Linked DNA regions of Callithrix jacchus. The protein of the gene in region 1 interacts with the protein of each later gene in a biochemical or structural test. Links are inferred from orthologs where the notes say so. Each region holds a gene or a part of one and is shown in the gene's direction. Other genes may lie near its edges.

What was found. The genes of interacting proteins can lie anywhere in the genome.
Region 2: the proteins of RHOA (region 1) and MCF2 form a complex in vitro, tested with the Homo sapiens proteins (2 studies listed by BioGRID). The link is inferred for Callithrix jacchus from reciprocal best matches to the Homo sapiens genes RHOA and MCF2.
Region 3: of the proteins of RHOA (region 1) and KCTD13, one has a biochemical effect on the other in vitro, tested with the Homo sapiens proteins (2 studies listed by BioGRID, with this or other methods). The link is inferred for Callithrix jacchus from reciprocal best matches to the Homo sapiens genes RHOA and KCTD13.
Region 4: the proteins of RHOA (region 1) and RTKN form a complex in vitro, tested with the Homo sapiens proteins (8 studies listed by BioGRID). The link is inferred for Callithrix jacchus from reciprocal best matches to the Homo sapiens genes RHOA and RTKN.

Annotation. Positions count from the first base shown.
Region 1 is NC_133516.1:31,971,357-31,974,856, reverse strand, and holds part of RHOA (transforming protein RhoA), read left to right. Parts: intron 1-1,828; coding exon 1,829-1,949; intron 1,950-3,500. UniProt on the Homo sapiens protein: Small GTPase which cycles between an active GTP-bound and an inactive GDP-bound state.
Region 2 is NC_133524.1:136,459,841-136,463,778, reverse strand, and holds the start of MCF2 (proto-oncogene DBL), read left to right. Parts: upstream 1-1,138; 5' UTR 1,139-1,433; coding exon 1,434-1,695; intron 1,696-3,938. UniProt on the Homo sapiens protein: Guanine nucleotide exchange factor (GEF) that modulates the Rho family of GTPases. Promotes the conversion of some member of the Rho family GTPase from the GDP-bound to the GTP-bound form. Isoform 1 exhibits no activity toward RHOA, RAC1 or CDC42.
Region 3 is NC_133513.1:29,592,989-29,597,081, forward strand, and holds the start of KCTD13 (BTB/POZ domain-containing adapter for CUL3-mediated RhoA degradation protein 1), read left to right. Parts: upstream 1-1,293; 5' UTR 1,294-1,487; coding exon 1,488-1,731; intron 1,732-3,776; coding exon 3,777-3,946; intron 3,947-4,093. UniProt on the Homo sapiens protein: Substrate-specific adapter of a BCR (BTB-CUL3-RBX1) E3 ubiquitin-protein ligase complex required for synaptic transmission.
Region 4 is NC_133515.1:38,758,049-38,762,123, forward strand, and holds the start of RTKN (rhotekin), read left to right. Parts: upstream 1-1,275; 5' UTR 1,276-1,361; coding exon 1,362-1,472; intron 1,473-2,735; exon of another isoform or gene 2,736-2,836; intron 2,837-3,208; exon of another isoform or gene 3,209-3,563; coding exon of another isoform or gene 3,564-3,635; intron 3,636-4,075. UniProt on the Homo sapiens protein: Mediates Rho signaling to activate NF-kappa-B and may confer increased resistance to apoptosis to cells in gastric tumorigenesis. May play a novel role in the organization of septin structures.

The DNA of each region.
Region 1 (3,500 bases):
AGCAGTTTGGGAGGCCGAGGCAGGTGGATCACGAGGTCAAGAGATCGAGACCATCCTGTTCAACAAGGTGAAACCCCGTCTCTAGTAAAAATACAAAAAGTTAGCTGGGAATGGTGGCACGTGACTATAATCTCAGCTACTCAGGAGGCTGAGGCAGGAGAATTGCTTGAACCCAGGAGGCGGAGGTTGCCGTGAGCCAAGATCTCGCCATTGCACTCCAGCCTGGGTAACAAGAGCGAAACTCCATCAAAAAAAAAAAAAAAAAGAAAGCCCCTTGAGGTGGTGGCTCACACCTGTAATCCCAGCACTTTGGGAGGCCGAGATGGGTGGATCACAAAGCCAGGAGTTCAAGATCAGCCTGGCCAAGATGGTGAAACCCCATCTCTAATAAATAAAATAATCAATCAATCACATCTGCTACAAATACTGCAGACCTCACCTCTTCCCCTGGCTATCTTGCCCACATTAGTTTCAAGGCCTCTCACAATAGTTTCAAGGCCTCCCCTTATCACCTCCCTCCTCCACCACCCTGCAGTTAACAAGTGTGTGCACCTAATAACCTGTGGAAACCAGAACTTGGGGCCAGTGGTCCCCATGCTTGTGTTGGTCCCCTGAACCCATGCTGTAAAATTCTACTCTTCTGTCTTTGTCTTTATTTCCTTTTCTCAATCCTTTGTCACCGCCAAGACTAAGGGCACCCATGAATGGGGTCGGGGCTGGTACCCAACAAATTTACCCTTCTATTACAGGAGGTTGAGCATGTACCTGGATGTGAAAAGAGTGCTCTCTCACCTTATGTGTTGCATTATTTCAGCCATTCAGACATTCTTGAATAGTAAAGGCACAGCCAAAGGTCTCTCCTGTCATCTCAGGCCTTGCCTAACACCCAGCGTTGTGTCTTTTCTTTCCTACCAACTCAGAATGCAGATTTGTCTCCATGTTTCCACATTGCAGCAGAAAATTTACTTAGTGTGGTATCTCCCTTTCTTGTCTGTGTACCTGGTGGAATGTTATTTAAAATTTTATATCTTCTCTCCTGTCTGTCTGCTTTCTTACCTAGTACAGTGTTATTTATAATCAAATACTTATAAGCTATGTTATTTTTGACTTGACATTTTGAATTTTGCCACTTGGTTCAGTTCTAGTATCTGGTTGTTGGTTTTTGTTTTTTTTTTCCTAACGGAGACAAGGTCTCACTGCCTAGGCTGGAGTGCAGTGGTATGATCTCTGCTTACTACAAGCTCTGCCTCTCGGGCTCAAGGAATCCTCCCACCTCAGTTTTCCAAGTAGCTGGGACTGCAGGTGTGCACCACCATACTCCGAAATTTTGCTTTTGTTGCTCAGGCTGGAGTGCAATGGTCTTGGCTTGTCTCAACCTCTACCTCCCGGGTTCAAGTGATTTTCCTGGTTCAGCCTCCCGAGTAGCTGGGATTACAGGCATGCGCCATGATGCCTGGCTAGTTTTGTATTTTTTACCAGAGATGAGGTTTCTCCATGCTGGTCAGGCTGGTCTCAAACTCCTGGCCTCAGGTGATCCGTCTGCCTCGGCCTCCCAAAGTGCTGGAATTAAAGGTGTGCACTGCACCCAGCCCACACTCAGCTAATTATTAAGGATTGCTTTGTAGAGATAGGGTCTCAAATTTCCGATTTTGACAAATTTCAACCTAAAATAAATTAAATATACTTTAATTTGAGCTTGATGCTCTTAAAAGTAAATATTCTTGTGTTTTACTGTTTTAGACTGTCATTTGAATGTACTATGGTTAGTGTCACTTAAGTGTGTAGTAGCATTAACCTTGAGCTCTTGTGGTTGTTTTTCCCATTACAGGTAGAGTTGGCTTTGTGGGACACAGCTGGACAGGAAGATTATGATCGCCTGAGACCCCTCTCCTACCCAGACACCGATGTTATTCTGATGTGTTTTTCCATCGACAGTCCTGATAGTTTAGGTGAGTGGTCCTGCGCCCAGTGTTTGTCACTGCAAGATGTATCCACCTAGGCTGGGCGAGGCAGGTGGGTCACCTGAGGTCAGGAGTTGGAGACCTGCCTGGTCAGCATGGCGAAACCCTGTCTCTACAAATACAAAAATTAGCCGGGTGTGGTGACATGCACCTGTAATCCCAGCTACTTGGGAGGGTGAGGCAGGAGAATCCGGGAGGCAGAGGTTGCAGTGATTTGGAATCGAGTCATTGCACTCCAGTCTGGGAGACAAGAAAATCTCTGTCTCAAAAAAGAAAGAAAGAAAATGTATCTAACTTGTTGGGGGATAGTTGCATGTGCCTGTAATCCCAGCTACCCAGGAAGCTGAGGTAGGAGAATTGCTTGAGCTCAGGAGTTTGTGTTTAGCCTGGGACTAGTGACCCCTGGCTCTAAAAAATTAATTAGGTTCAGGTGCTGTAACTCTTGCTTCTAATCCCAGAACTCTGAGAGGCCAAGGTGGGAGGATCACTTGAAGCCAAGAGTTTCAGATCAGCCTCAGCAACCTAGCAAGACTCCTTCTCTATTAAAATTAAAGGTTTTGTTGGAAGGCCGAGGCGGGTGGATCATGAGGTCAAGAGATTGAGACCATCCTGGTCAACATGGTGAAACCCCGTCTCTACTAAAAGTACAAAAAATTAGCTGGGCATGGTGGTGCATGCCTGTAATCCCAGGTACTCAGGAGTCTGAGGCAGGAGAATTGCCTGAACCCAGGAGGCGGAGGTTGTGGTGAGCCGAGATCGTGCCATTGCACTCCAGCCTGGGTAACAAGAGTGAAACTCCGTCTCAAAAAACAAAAATAAAAAATAAAGATTTCGGCCGGGCACAGTGGCTCATGCCTGTAATCCTAGCACTTTGGGAGTCTGAGGCAGATGGATCACCTGAGCTCAGGAGTTCAAGACCAGCCTGGGCAACATGGCGAAACCCTGGCTCTACAAAAATGCAAAAATTAGCTGGGCCTGATGGTGTGTGCACCTGAACTTCAAGCTACTTGGGAGGCTGAGGCCGGAGAATCATTTGAGACTGGGAGTCGGAGGGTGCAGTGAGCTGAGATCATGCCATTGCACTCTTGCCTGGGTGACAGAAGTGAAATTCTGTCTCAAAAGATAAAGATTTTATTTGAAAATAATTAATTTGGTCAGATGCAGTGGCTCACACCTGTAATCCCAGCATTTTGAGAGGCCAAGGCAGTTGGATCACCTGAAGCCAGGGGTTCAAGACCATCCTGGCCAACATGGTGAAACCCCGTCTCTACTAAAAATATAAAGATTAGCTGGACATGGCGGCATGTTCCTATAATCGAGCTACTTGGGAGGCTGAGGCATGAGAATTGCTTGAACTGGGAGGCAGAGGTTGCAATGAGCTGAGATTGCGCCCCTACACTCCAGCCTGGGCTACAGGCCAGGTGTGGCTAAAGGCTCTGTGCGGATGCTCATGCCTGTAATCCCAGCACTTTGGGACGCTGAGGTAGGCAGATCATTTGAGATCAGGAGTTTTGCCTTCACACAGGTTAACTTGGAAGA
Region 2 (3,938 bases), on another chromosome or scaffold:
CACGCCCACCAACAATGTAAAAGTGTTCCTATTTCTCCACATCCTCTCCAGCATCTGTTGTCTCCAGATTTTTTAATGATCGTCATTCTAACTGGTGTGAGACAGTATCTCAATGTGGTTTTGATTTGCATTTCTCTAACGACCGGTGATGATGAGCATTTTTTCATATGTTTATTGGCCTCATAAATGTCTTCTTTTGAAAACTGTCTGTTCATATTCTTTGCCCACTTTTGAATAGTTTTTTTTTTTTCCTTGTAAATCTGCTTTAGTTCTTTGTAGATTCTGGATAATAGCCCTTTGTCTGATGGGTAGACTGCAAAAATTTTTTCCCATTCTGTTGGTTGCTGGTTCACTCTAATGATTGTTTCTTTTGCTGTCCAGAAGCTGTTAAGTTTAATTAGATCTCATTTGTCTATTTTGGCTTTTGTTGCTATTGCTTTTGGTGTTTTAGTCATGAAGTCCTTGGGGAGGGATAACATTGGGAGAAATGGCTGATGTAGGTGACGGGGAGCGGGGGGGGGAGGGGGAGGAGACAGCAAGCCACCATGGCATGTGTGTACCTATGCAACAATCCTACAAGATCTGCACATGTACCCCAGGACTTAAAGTACAAAAAAAAAAAAAAAAAAAGGCATTGCCTCCTCTTGCCCTTCCTTTTTCTCGTGTCCTCTCTAAAGTGTGTCAAGTCTCTCATACCCATGGCAGATGGCAGCTCAGGTGTCTATACAGGGGGTTGGCATTTGAAAATTTGGGACCTGGAGGGTGTGAGACTTGGCATATTTAAGGACTGAAATCAGAATGTCTGTGTGTTCGTATGCATCGTTGGAGGACATATTTCGGCTTCAGCACAGGGCCTTTCAGACTATTCAGGGCTCGTATTCTCTTGGGGCAAAGACGGCAGCTTTGACAGGGCCACCTTCAGGTGCTCGCACCGAGTAACTCCCTTGTGCCGCCAAGTCTTGTGTGAGTTGCCATGGGAGTGCGAGGCTGTGCCATCTCCTCCCACCGCATGCTAGCCTAGGCTGGCCTTTCATCCCTTGAAAATAGGCATCTCTGCAGAAATTCCCCCTTTTGGATGCTTGCGTCCCTCCTCGGAGTCCCCTCGCCTCCTTTCATCCTCTGCTGGCTAAGCGGGGGCGTGGGTGCGCGCACCCAGGAAGAGTAGCCCTCGCAGCGGCGGTGGCCAGAGCGCTCCGCAGGAGCCCCAAACTCATAACAAGTTCTCGGACTGCTCGCGCGGAGCTCTCAGGCCTCTACGCCTCTATACCTACTTGGAGGGGTCCAGAGGGCGGGAGGCCGCGACGCGGTTGGGCTGAGCGGGGCCAGGGGCTGCACCCCTCCGGCAGTGCCTGAGCGCGCAGCGGCGGCGCGCGGATCGGAGCTGGGCAGCTACTGGCTGGGGTAGCGGCCCTGCCTGGGACTCCAGCGTGAAGATGGCAGCAGCAGAGCCCCGGCCCCACCTGGGTTCGCCACGGCGGGCGGCCAGGCACATGCCCCAAGCTGCCGCTTCGGCGCCGTGTACCCCCTTGTCCTGGATCCCGGGCCTGCCCCAGAACCCAGGTGGTTGCACTTCCATGCCGACAACTCAGGCGATTCCTCTGCAGGTGGATATGGCCATGGCCCTGCAGCGCGTGAGGATTGCCGAGAAGTACGGGAAGAACTACCTCTGCCTCCTTCAAGCAGTCTTCGTGGCAGGTAAGTCCCCTTCTCGCATCTCCTCCCCAGTGGCCTGGGGCTCCAACCTAGCTCGCTCACCCTTCTCCTCACCCACTGCCTCCCCAGACGAGCACACTAGTTTCCAGTCCACACTCCCCACGCGCGCGCACACACTTTCCTACTGCAGTGGCGCTCCCAGCTGCGAACTCGCTGGGTCATCCGTTCTCTTTTCCTCTGGCCAGCTGCCGCTCTGCAGGCGTGCAGCTCTGGTCCGCTTGGGCACCGCAGGAGGACCGTGGGAAACTGCAGGAAGCGGTATGAGAATGTCTCTGCCATTGCTGGTTCAGGTCTCTTATCCTCTTCTCATCCACTTCAGTGAGAACCCAACCTCTCTAAGGAGTGCACTTCCCTTGTAATATTCCCGGAAGTTGAAAAATCAATTTTTGTTTGTTTGTTTTTGTTTTCCCCATAACGCATGTGGAGGAAATCAAGTCAAAAAGGCACTCTGGTTCTGGAACCAGCAGCAGAGCCGAAGCAGGGCAGGTGGAGGAGGAGTTGTAGGGAAACAACTGCTGCCACTAACTTGGGCTTTTCACCCAGACAAGCGCATCTTTCTTTTCATCTTGGTCCACGAGCTTCTTGCTTCCCTACAAAGGCTCTTGTACAAACGAAAACAAAGTCAGGTAACTCACAAAGTCTTTACTGCCACTGCCATGGTTTGATTAAGGGGAGTGAATGGTGTAACATGGACTTGATTACTTGCCAGTCATGCTACACTCACATTTAACAAGCTAAAGTTGCCCAGACTTGGGGTTGATGTAACAGGGAGGGTGCTGCAGGCTGTGGGGCTGCGTTCCCATGGGGCCATTCTGACTGGGGCACTGGGGCAGCCTCGGAACAGAGTGCAACTCTGGGACCTGAAGTTCAGCCAGTGCTTTTCAGACAAGTCTACAAGGTGCTGCAATTGATATGCGTGCCTTCCTGTTCTCCCAAGGTAGTTTTGACTTACTAGGTTCTAAGCCTTGCAGTGGAAGTTTTGGTATTCAAAAAATAGACTTGGTGGCAATTTCCTGCAAATCAGATAGCCACAACACATGTTCCAAATATGCCTCCCTATTTAGTGCTATCCACAAATCTAAAGGAGGCCATGCAAACATCTTCAGTTAGGCCAGTGGAATTAATTCAAAGCTGTGGTCTATGCATCTTCATAACACAGAACTCTTTGGTCTTGCTTGTTTTCTTTTGAGCTGGTTAGTATTATTTTCTATATGTAATAAATCATTAAGGGGAGTGTGGTGATAAGGCACAGACTCCTTCAGCTCTTAAGAGCAATTTAAATAGTTTTTGGAGACTACAAAAAAAAATCTCGTTGAAACATTCTGTGCAGCACAGTGGAAAGTACTTTGTGTCTTGTTCTCATTTACCTTTGCATCGTCCTGGGAGCTAAAAAAAAAAAGTCTCCTTTGGAGAAATGCATGCTTAATCACAAGGGATAAATTAGTTATGCTATGAAATGTACGTTGACATTTCTACTGCTAGTGATTGCTCTTCTTTCTAGAGTTGTGTAATGTTTCATCTGTCCATACTGTTGAAGGCTCCTACATGTTGACAGGCCCCCATTCCTGTGGCATCACAATGCATCATAACACCTAAATGACACCAATTGCTGTGCTGTGTTTTTTACCTGGGCTTGCAGTACTTTTGTACCTGTTAAGCATTTGCCCTGGAAGGAATCTGTAGCCATGCGATTAGAGTACACACTACAGTACAAAAATTTTAAATGTAAAATGGATTTCATATAGTTGGAAGCTATTTATATAATAAAATACATTTACAAAGCTTTTCACTGTGGTTAATAACTTCCGGAACAATCATGTCAACAATGACCATTTATGGATTGCTCAGGCCCAGAAACTATGCTACAGTGTAATAAACTAATTACATGTATGTGTGTAGAATCTGCCCTGGGGCAGCCAGAAGAGGAAATGATTGGCTTCACTTAGGGAGTTAGGGGAAGACTTGGAGAGAGTGATGCATGAGTTGAATTTTGAGAGATGCATACAAATGTCCGGGTAGACAGAGGATGGGGATTGAATGCGGTAGGGATAGGTGGGGTGAATGGTATTCCAGGCAAGGAAATAAGATGTGCAAAGACAAGCAGAAAGAGAAGAGCAGAGTAGGTTTGGGAAATTGTAAATACCTTTTAAATGATTGAAGTGTAATATGGGGGGTAAAGGGCAGAGAGAAATTTGGAGAGGTAGGCAGGGGCTTCATCAGGCAGT
Region 3 (4,093 bases), on another chromosome or scaffold:
CCAGTGACCTGCTGGCAGGGTTGAAGGAAAAACTCTGACTCTGTTTTCCCTCCAGCAACCCCCCTTGCTAGACATTAAGGCAGATTGTTAAATCCCTGATGTATCAGCATCTAAACTGGATGCAGATTGGGTCAGATAAAAACACTTCTCAGTGCACTTTCTTGTCAACAGTGGGTTCCTATCTTTTCTTCTTTCTTTTGGGGTTGGGTGCTAGGTCCCATGACATTAGCTGGGATTCTAAGACCTTTGTTCAGCTGCTGTGGCCACCTCTGACACACCCTCTGCTCTCAAATACTAGAGCGTGTTCCTGCCTGCCTGAAGATTTTTTTTTTTTTTAAAGATGGAGTCTCACTCTGTTGCCAGGCTGGAGTGAAGTGGCACTATCTTGGCTCACTGCAAACTCCACCTCCCGGGTTCAAGCAATTCTCCGGCCTCGGCCTCTGAGTAGCTGGGATTACAGGTGTGTACCACCACGCCTGGCTAATTTTTGTATTTTTTAGTAGAAACGGGATTTCATCATATTGGACAGCCTGGTCTCGAACTCCTGACTTCGTGATTCACCTGTCTCAGCCTCCCAAAGTGCTGGGATTACAACTATGAGCCACCGCACCCTGAGGATCTTTGGATTTGCCTTCTCTCTGCCTGGAACTCTTCCCTCACATCTCCACATGGCCGCTTCCCAGCTTCAACTCGGCATCACCTCCTCTGGGAGGCCTTCCATCCTTGGTGCCCGGGCAACACTGCTACCCCTTTGGCCTTTTTTTTTTTTTTTAGGACACTATGTTGCCCACTTGCAGTCGTCCGATCACAGTTTACTGCAGCCTCCAACTCCTGGCCTCAAGCAATCCTCCTGCCTCGGCCTCCCGAGTAGCTGGGCTTAGATGCTGGGGTTTTGGGGTGTCAGCCACTGCGCCCAGCCGCTTTGGCCTCCTTTAAGAGCTTCCCTCCGTGCTTTGTTCGCAGTTCTCGTCACCGTCTGTTCAGTGCGCAGGGCTGGGAGGCGGGAAACTGCCCAACGCCCAGATCTCTCGGTCTGTTTCCCCTTAAGTTCGTGAAGCTCTCTGAGAGCAGAGACCCAATCACGAGGCGGAGACTTGGCTTTCCACATTGGGCAGGGGTCGGCAGCATCCTCGATCTGGTCTTGCATACTACAGACCAGACGGGAGGGCACATCGACCCACCTCGGGACCCTCAGGCCTCAACCCACTGTTGCTCCGGCTCCCCCTGCAAGCCCGCTGCGCATGCTTCGCACTTGCAGGCCCTCCCCCCTCTCTGGGGCGGAGCCGCGCCTGCGCAGCTGCCCGGCGCCGGCTTCCGGGTGGTGCGAGCGCGATGGGGCGGCGGGCAGGTGTCGCCTAGTAGCAGCGGCGAGTGGGCGTGTATGCCGAGCGGTCTGGCCCGAGGGCTGGGGGCGGCCGAGGGTCTTCGGGAGGAGGCCAAAGGGCGCGGAGAGAGCCTGGGATCGCCGTCCGCCGCTGCCACCCGGTATGTCGGCGGAGGCCTCGGGCCCGGCGGCGGCCGCGGCCCCGTCCCTAGAAACCCCTAAGCTCTCGGGTCTAGAGCCTGGCTCCGCCGCCTACGGTCTCAAGCCGCTGACCCCGAACAGCAAGTACGTGAAACTGAACGTGGGCGGCTCGCTGCACTACACCACGCTGCGCACCCTCACGGGACAGGACACCATGCTCAAGGCCATGTTCAGCGGCCGTGTGGAGGTGCTGACCGACGCCGGAGGTACGAGCGGCTTCCCCACCGTGCCTCCATCCCCAGACCCCCAACTCGCGTTCCCCACAGTCTCTCACCACCGGGGCTCTTCATGCCCCTTCTCTCTGCTCACTACTGTCCGGTCAACTCATTCTCAGCTCCCTCCAGCGCCCACATCTCATCTCCTCCCCTTTCTCATTCATAATTTCCCTTCTTCCCCAGTCCTTTACCCCCAGCAATAACCAACATTTACGGAACCCCTAATTCTGCCAGGCGCTGTGGTAAGTGATTGAACGTGTCACTTCATAATCCTCATGACAGCTCTCCCACCCTTCACCCCTCAGCTAAAGACTTGGGTACTAGCCCTGCTGCCTGCAATTCTACTCCTGGCAGCCTTCTCAGTTTCTTCCAACTGCCCAGCCTTTTGCTTCCCTCTCTGCCTCAGAACTGCTCAGCCAGCCTAGAGAAGTGGGAGATCTTGTCTGCCTCTGTGTTCCCCGACACAGGTCCCTGTACACTCCAGGAATCCACCTGTAGACACACATTACAAAAGGAGGATGCTTTAGGTTTGCTAGGAACACCAGAGTGGAGGGGTGGACAGGTGTCATTGGCAGGTGAACCTTACCTTCTTGGAGTGTCGCATTCAAGTTTGGAGCCTACATGCCCAAAGTTTTGGAGTTTGGAACTGGGAGATTCTTAAGGGAGGAGTTAACAAGGACTATGAGAATAGGAGGATAAAAATTTGGGAGGCGGACATCTGCCTTCAAGTATCAAAGGTGAAGAATTTGACTGGGCTCGGTGGCTCACACCTGTAATCCCAGCACTTTGGGAGGCCAATGTGGGTGGATCACCTGAGGTCAGGAGTTTGAGACCAGCCTGACCAATATGGTGAAACCCGTCTCTACTAAAAATACAAAAATTAGCCGGATGTGGTGGCAGGCACCTGTAGTCCAAGCTACTGAGGAATCTGAGACAGGAGAATCGCTTGAATCTGGGAGGCAGAGATTGTGGGTGAGCCGAGATTTTGCCACTGCACTCCAGCCTGGGCAACTTAGTGTAATTCCATCAAAAAAAAAAAGTGACGAATTCATTTGTCCAATTAGTGTTTGTAAAATATCAGTTAGTGCTGGAGATACATAGGTAAATGAACGTGACAAAATTATGGCAAGTCCCCTTTTTTAAGGAGGTGGGAGATGAGATCAATAAGCAGGTAAAAATGCATAATATGCAGGTAGTAAGTTCTTTCTTTTTTTCTGATAAGTTCTATGAAGAATATAAAAGTTAAAATGGTAGTGAATTGGAGGGAGGTCGACATTTTAAATAGGATGGTCAGAATTAACATGGGGGTTAGAGGTTTATTGATAAGGTAATTCTGCAAGACCGTTCGTGTTAAGAGCTTCTGACTGTAGATCAGATATGGAAGAATTAATTCTCCGGCTGGATGTGTAACTTATGGGAGAACTCACTAGAGATATTTTAAAGAGATTTTTTGGCTGTGGCACAGATTAGTATTCAGTCTTTTTTGTGACTTTGGAATCCTTTTTTTTTTTTTGAGTCAGTGTTCCCTAATGTTGCCCAGGCTGGAGTGCAACGGCGCCATCTCGGCTCACTGCAACCTCCGCCTCCCAGGCTCAAGCTATTCTCCTGCCTCAGTCTCCCAGATAGTTGGGATTACAGGCATACGCTACCATGCCTGGCTAATTTTGTATTTTTAGTAGAGATGAGGTTTTTCCCTCTTGGTCAGGCTGGTCTCGAACTCCTGACCTCACAGCTTAAAAAAATGTGAGGTGATACACCCTCCTCAGCCTCCCAAAGTGCTGGGATTACAGGCGTCAGTTACCACGCCTAGCTGGAATCCGTTTTTTCTTATAATTTAGGCCAGGTGTGGTGACTCACACGTATAATACAAGTACTTTGGGAGGCTGAGATGGGAGGATCACTTGAGCCTAAGAGTTCGAGACCAGCCTGGGCAACATAATGAGACTCCATCTCTACAAAAAAATTTTTCTTTAATTTAATAGCTCCAGGTCCCCCAGCAAAGCCGTCTTTCCTTCTGCCTTTCCCCACCCTACTAGGTTGGGTGCTGATTGACCGGAGTGGCCGTCACTTTGGTACGATCCTCAACTACCTGCGGGACGGGTCTGTGCCACTGCCAGAGAGTACCAGAGAACTGGGAGAGCTGCTGGGCGAAGCACGCTACTACCTGGTTCAGGGCCTGATTGACGACTGCCAGCTGGCACTGCAGGTGAGGGCCTTCCGAGTCCCGGTGCCTATGTTCCTGAGAGAGCTGCCCAAGCAGGTATTAGGACAGAAGAAAGGAGATATGGGGTATGGCCTAGAGAGCCTGCCTCTGATTGGCCATAACCCCAGAGAATTTGGGATGCTATCTTCT
Region 4 (4,075 bases), on another chromosome or scaffold:
GGTTGAAGTGCAGTGGCTATTCACAGGCATGATCCCACTACTGATCAGCACCTGGGCCGGATCACCCCTCCTTAGGGAACCTGGTGGTTCCCCGCTCCCAGGATGTCACCATATTGATGCCAAACTTAGTGTGGACACCTGATCGACATAGCATACTACAGCCCAGAACTCCTGGGCTCAAGCGATCCTCCTACCTCAGTCTTCCGAGTAGCTGGGACTACTGTGCCCAGCTTGTAATGCTTTTTAAAAGATGGGGTCCCACTATGTTGCCCAGGCTAGACTTGAGCATTTGGGCTCAAGTGATGCGCCCACCTTAGCCTTCTGAGTAGCTGGGACTACAGGTGTGCACCACCACACCAGGCTAGTGTGTGTGTGTGTGTGTGTGTGTGTGTGCCTATGTATGTTTTGTAGAGACAGGGTTTCACCGTGTTGCCCAGGCTGTTCTCTAACCCCTGAGCTCAATCAGTCAGCCCATCTTGGCCTCTCAAAGTGCCAGGATTACAGGCTTGAGCCACTCTGCCCAGCCATTGCTCTTTATCTTTATGGCTCCAAATATGGGGCCCTTGCCTTGTGCCAAACATTATGCTGGGCATTTTACCCTCATACTTATAGATAATACTCATAGCAACTTGAGTGGGGACAGTTACAGTATTCCCACTGAACAGATGAGAAAACTGAAGCACAGAAAGATCAGTGACTGGACCATGTCAATGACCGCACGGTTAGTTAGTGACAGAGCTGGATTTTCACGACGTGTTTAAGCACTGTCCCATCAGTTGTGGCCGTTAGGCTTGGGCTGATAGCCACAGAGAGGAGAGGAAGAAGGAACATTTGGGACTGTGGGAAGTTGAAATGGTCCGTTTGCAGGCTGCCGGGGTTTAGACTGGGCAAGTTCCCAGCGCCCAGATAGAGCCGGAACGTACTACGCGACGATCCCTGAGCCACGGGGATTTCCGCGCCAGGGAAGCCAGGCTTGCCAGGTGGGTACGGCTGCCGGGGAGGGGCTTCTCAAGGCCCGCCCCATGCCCAGGTGAGCGCTCGCGACCCGTGCGGGCAGAGAATGCGACCCCGCAGTGCTCGCGAGGTGCAGGGTGCTCCTGCCTCCGGGGCCGTCGGGCCAGGTCGGCTTGGCGCGCTGAGACTGGCCGTACGGGCTGGGCTTTTGGCGGCGGTGGAAGAGGAGGTTGCCGCGCCTTGCGCGGCCCAGGTGTCGTCTCCGGGGGCGGGGTTTGGAGCCCTGCAGCGGGAGATCCCCGGCGGGACTGGCTGGCGGGCGTCGAGAGACTGAAGCGGAGGAGAGGAGGCGAAGCCGGGCGGCGCGGAGAGGCGCAGGACGCAGGCGAAGTCGCAAGGCCGCCAGCATGTTCTCTCGTAACCACCGGAGCCGGGTCACAGTGGCCAGGGGCTCCGCCCTGGAGATGGAGTTCAAACGCGGCCGCTTCCGACTCAGCCTCTTCAGCGACCCGCCGGAGGTGAGAGACCCGCGTCCCTGCCTTCCCCTTCCGCGGCTCCCGGGGGCAGCCCCGGCCGCCTCGGCCTCCTGCCTTCGTCCGCGCGCATGCTGAGGGACGGAGACGCCACGGTCTGGGTACAAACCTGACGGAGTTATTGACTTAAAAAGTAAGGTGTGGACAGTCTGCCCTTTCATCAAATCAGTGCTGCCCTAGACATTCCCCGGCCTGGCTGGGATGATTTGCTTGTGTCTGGAAAAACCCCGGGTTATCTCAACTTGGAGAGCCCCAGCTCGACTCCCAAAATGGGCCTGGACCCCAAAATGTCCTGAGCATTCCCGGGCCAAGGGCGGTGGGCAGCTAGGGGGGGCCCAAACGCTGGGACTCTTGGCCTGGCCTCCCGCTCGTTCCCCTGCCGCCAGCCCCATCCCACAACCTGTCGCAGCCACCTTGACCAGCCTGTCATCAATCCCGACTTCTAGGTCGAGGCCGCTCGCTTCTCCGAAGCCCTATTCCAAGGCTCCTCTGTGCCCCTGCAGAGCTTTTAACTCTTTGGGGTTACTTCCAACACGAAAAATTTCCGCCTCCTTTCCTGGGGCCTAAGAGGAGTCCAGCCCCTAGGCTGAGCGTCCCCCGCCCCGCCCCGTCCGCCTTCCACGCGTTGCCCCGTTGGAGCCCCACCTGTAACTCCCTAGAGGCTAGGGTGGGGGTGAAGGTGTGTGGCTGAGTTGGGACTGAGAGGGCGGGTAGCTACCCCAAAGACTCTTCTGTCCCGAAGGTCAGACTCACACTTGCCCAAGGAGAGCCCAGTTCCAAGCCTTCCCTTCCGGGCATGGAAAGGGTTAAGTGAGGTGGGCCTTCCTCCCGCCCCCTCGCCTTCCCAGCTGGGATTCCAGTCCAGGCTTCTGCCCTTTCCCTCCAGCCTGCCCAGAACAAAGGCTGTTTCACACCCTTGTCCCGGTATCCTGGGCCTTCTCTGACTCAGAAGCTAATGGACCTGGGGGAGAGAGGGCCTACTTCGGGTCCCCTTTCCCCAAAGCGACTGGGCTCGAGGAACCTGCTTGGGGCCAGTGTGGGGGAGTAAGGGGCGAGGCCCGGGTCCAGGGGAGGGGCCTGTGAACTGGGGCCGCCCCTCGGGATTAGCCCGGCCTTCGGGGCCAGAGCCGAGGAGCTGGGGCGGAGCCACAGGGCCCCGCGTTTGCCAAGGGGAGTGTGACTCCGTGGGCCTGGCGTGGAGGCGGGGGAGCTAGGCTGCAGCTGGCTGGGAATCGGGGCTGGTTTCCTGTCTGGAAGGGAAGGGGCCTGCAGAAGGGAGCGGGGACAGCAGCAGACAGGCACACCCCTGCCTTCCTCCCTCCCTCTCCTCCCTTCTCTGGAAAAGCGAGGTAATTGTGAGCCCAGGGTGGAGTGGGCTGGATGGGGGCCCTGAGTTGAAAGGGGTGGCCCTGGGGCTGGGCTGCGTTACCAACTCACCCGTTTTTCTACTCCCTGGGCTCACTCTCCCCTGAGGTCCTCACCTCTGTGGCTCTTTTGCCTAACTTTCTCTAAGCCCAAACCCCTCTCAGAAAGCGCCAACCTCATGTAAACCCCATGACTCTGTAGAACCTGCATGAGGCGTAGTTTCCCTGCCCCCTTCCAGTTGTGCCTGCCCCTCACTGCCCTCTCTGCACACAGATTCTCTGTCCACCAGGCCAGGGATGTGGGCGGGGGCTGGGGAGCGGCCAGAGTCGGAATGAAAGGGCCTTTTTCTTCCACAGCTGGGAGAACAGCTGCCACCAAAGCAAGACTGGACACTCTGTGCCCAGAGCCCCCTCTGCAGTTGGCCTTTCCTCCTGGGACCCCACTCATCCTCACTTTGCTTTCCTTTTCTCCCCTGCCTGGCTCCCAGCAGGGCCCTGGAGCAGCAGTAGGCAAGGAAAATTTGTCACAGCAGCCAGAGGGGTCTAACAGGAGTGTAGAGGGATAAGGGCAACTTCTGCCCTCTGCCTAAGAGCTGTCCACCTCTTTCAAGACTGAGGGAACAGTGAGAGGAGGAACTGTGGGACAGTGTGGCACCTGTCTGTCTCCTCTCTGGAGGGGTCGACAAGGGAAAGGGCACCAGGGGGCACAGAGATGCAGGACAGATTGCACATCCTGGAGGACCTGAATATGCTCTACATTCGGCAGATGGCACTCAGCCTGGAGGTAATCCCCTGACCCTTGGAGTATACACCTCCTTCACTTGCATCCCAGCCCCAATATTGGCCCTGCCCATTCCTGCTAGATCGTGTTGGGGAGAGCCAGGCCTGCTTAAAGTGGGAGAGGGACAGGTGGTTCCCTATGCCTTGTGTTGGGTGCAGTGCGTGGACCCAGGCTCAGTTTTGCCCATCAGAGTCTTGTGTTGGCAGCAGGGTTTTCAAGAAGCTCTGTGGGTGAGTGTGGATGCCTGTTCTGGGGACAAGGATTCCTTTTAGGTATGGGAAGAAGAGAGGAGTTCAATGTGAGAGAGGTTTGCAGAAAGGAGGTAGCCTTACAAGAGAAGAAAAAGACTGGGCTGTAAGGATTCTGTTGGCCCTTGAGACGGCAAGATGTTGTTCATTCATGTATTTGTTTTTTTCAATGCTTTGTAGAGGCAAGATCTCACT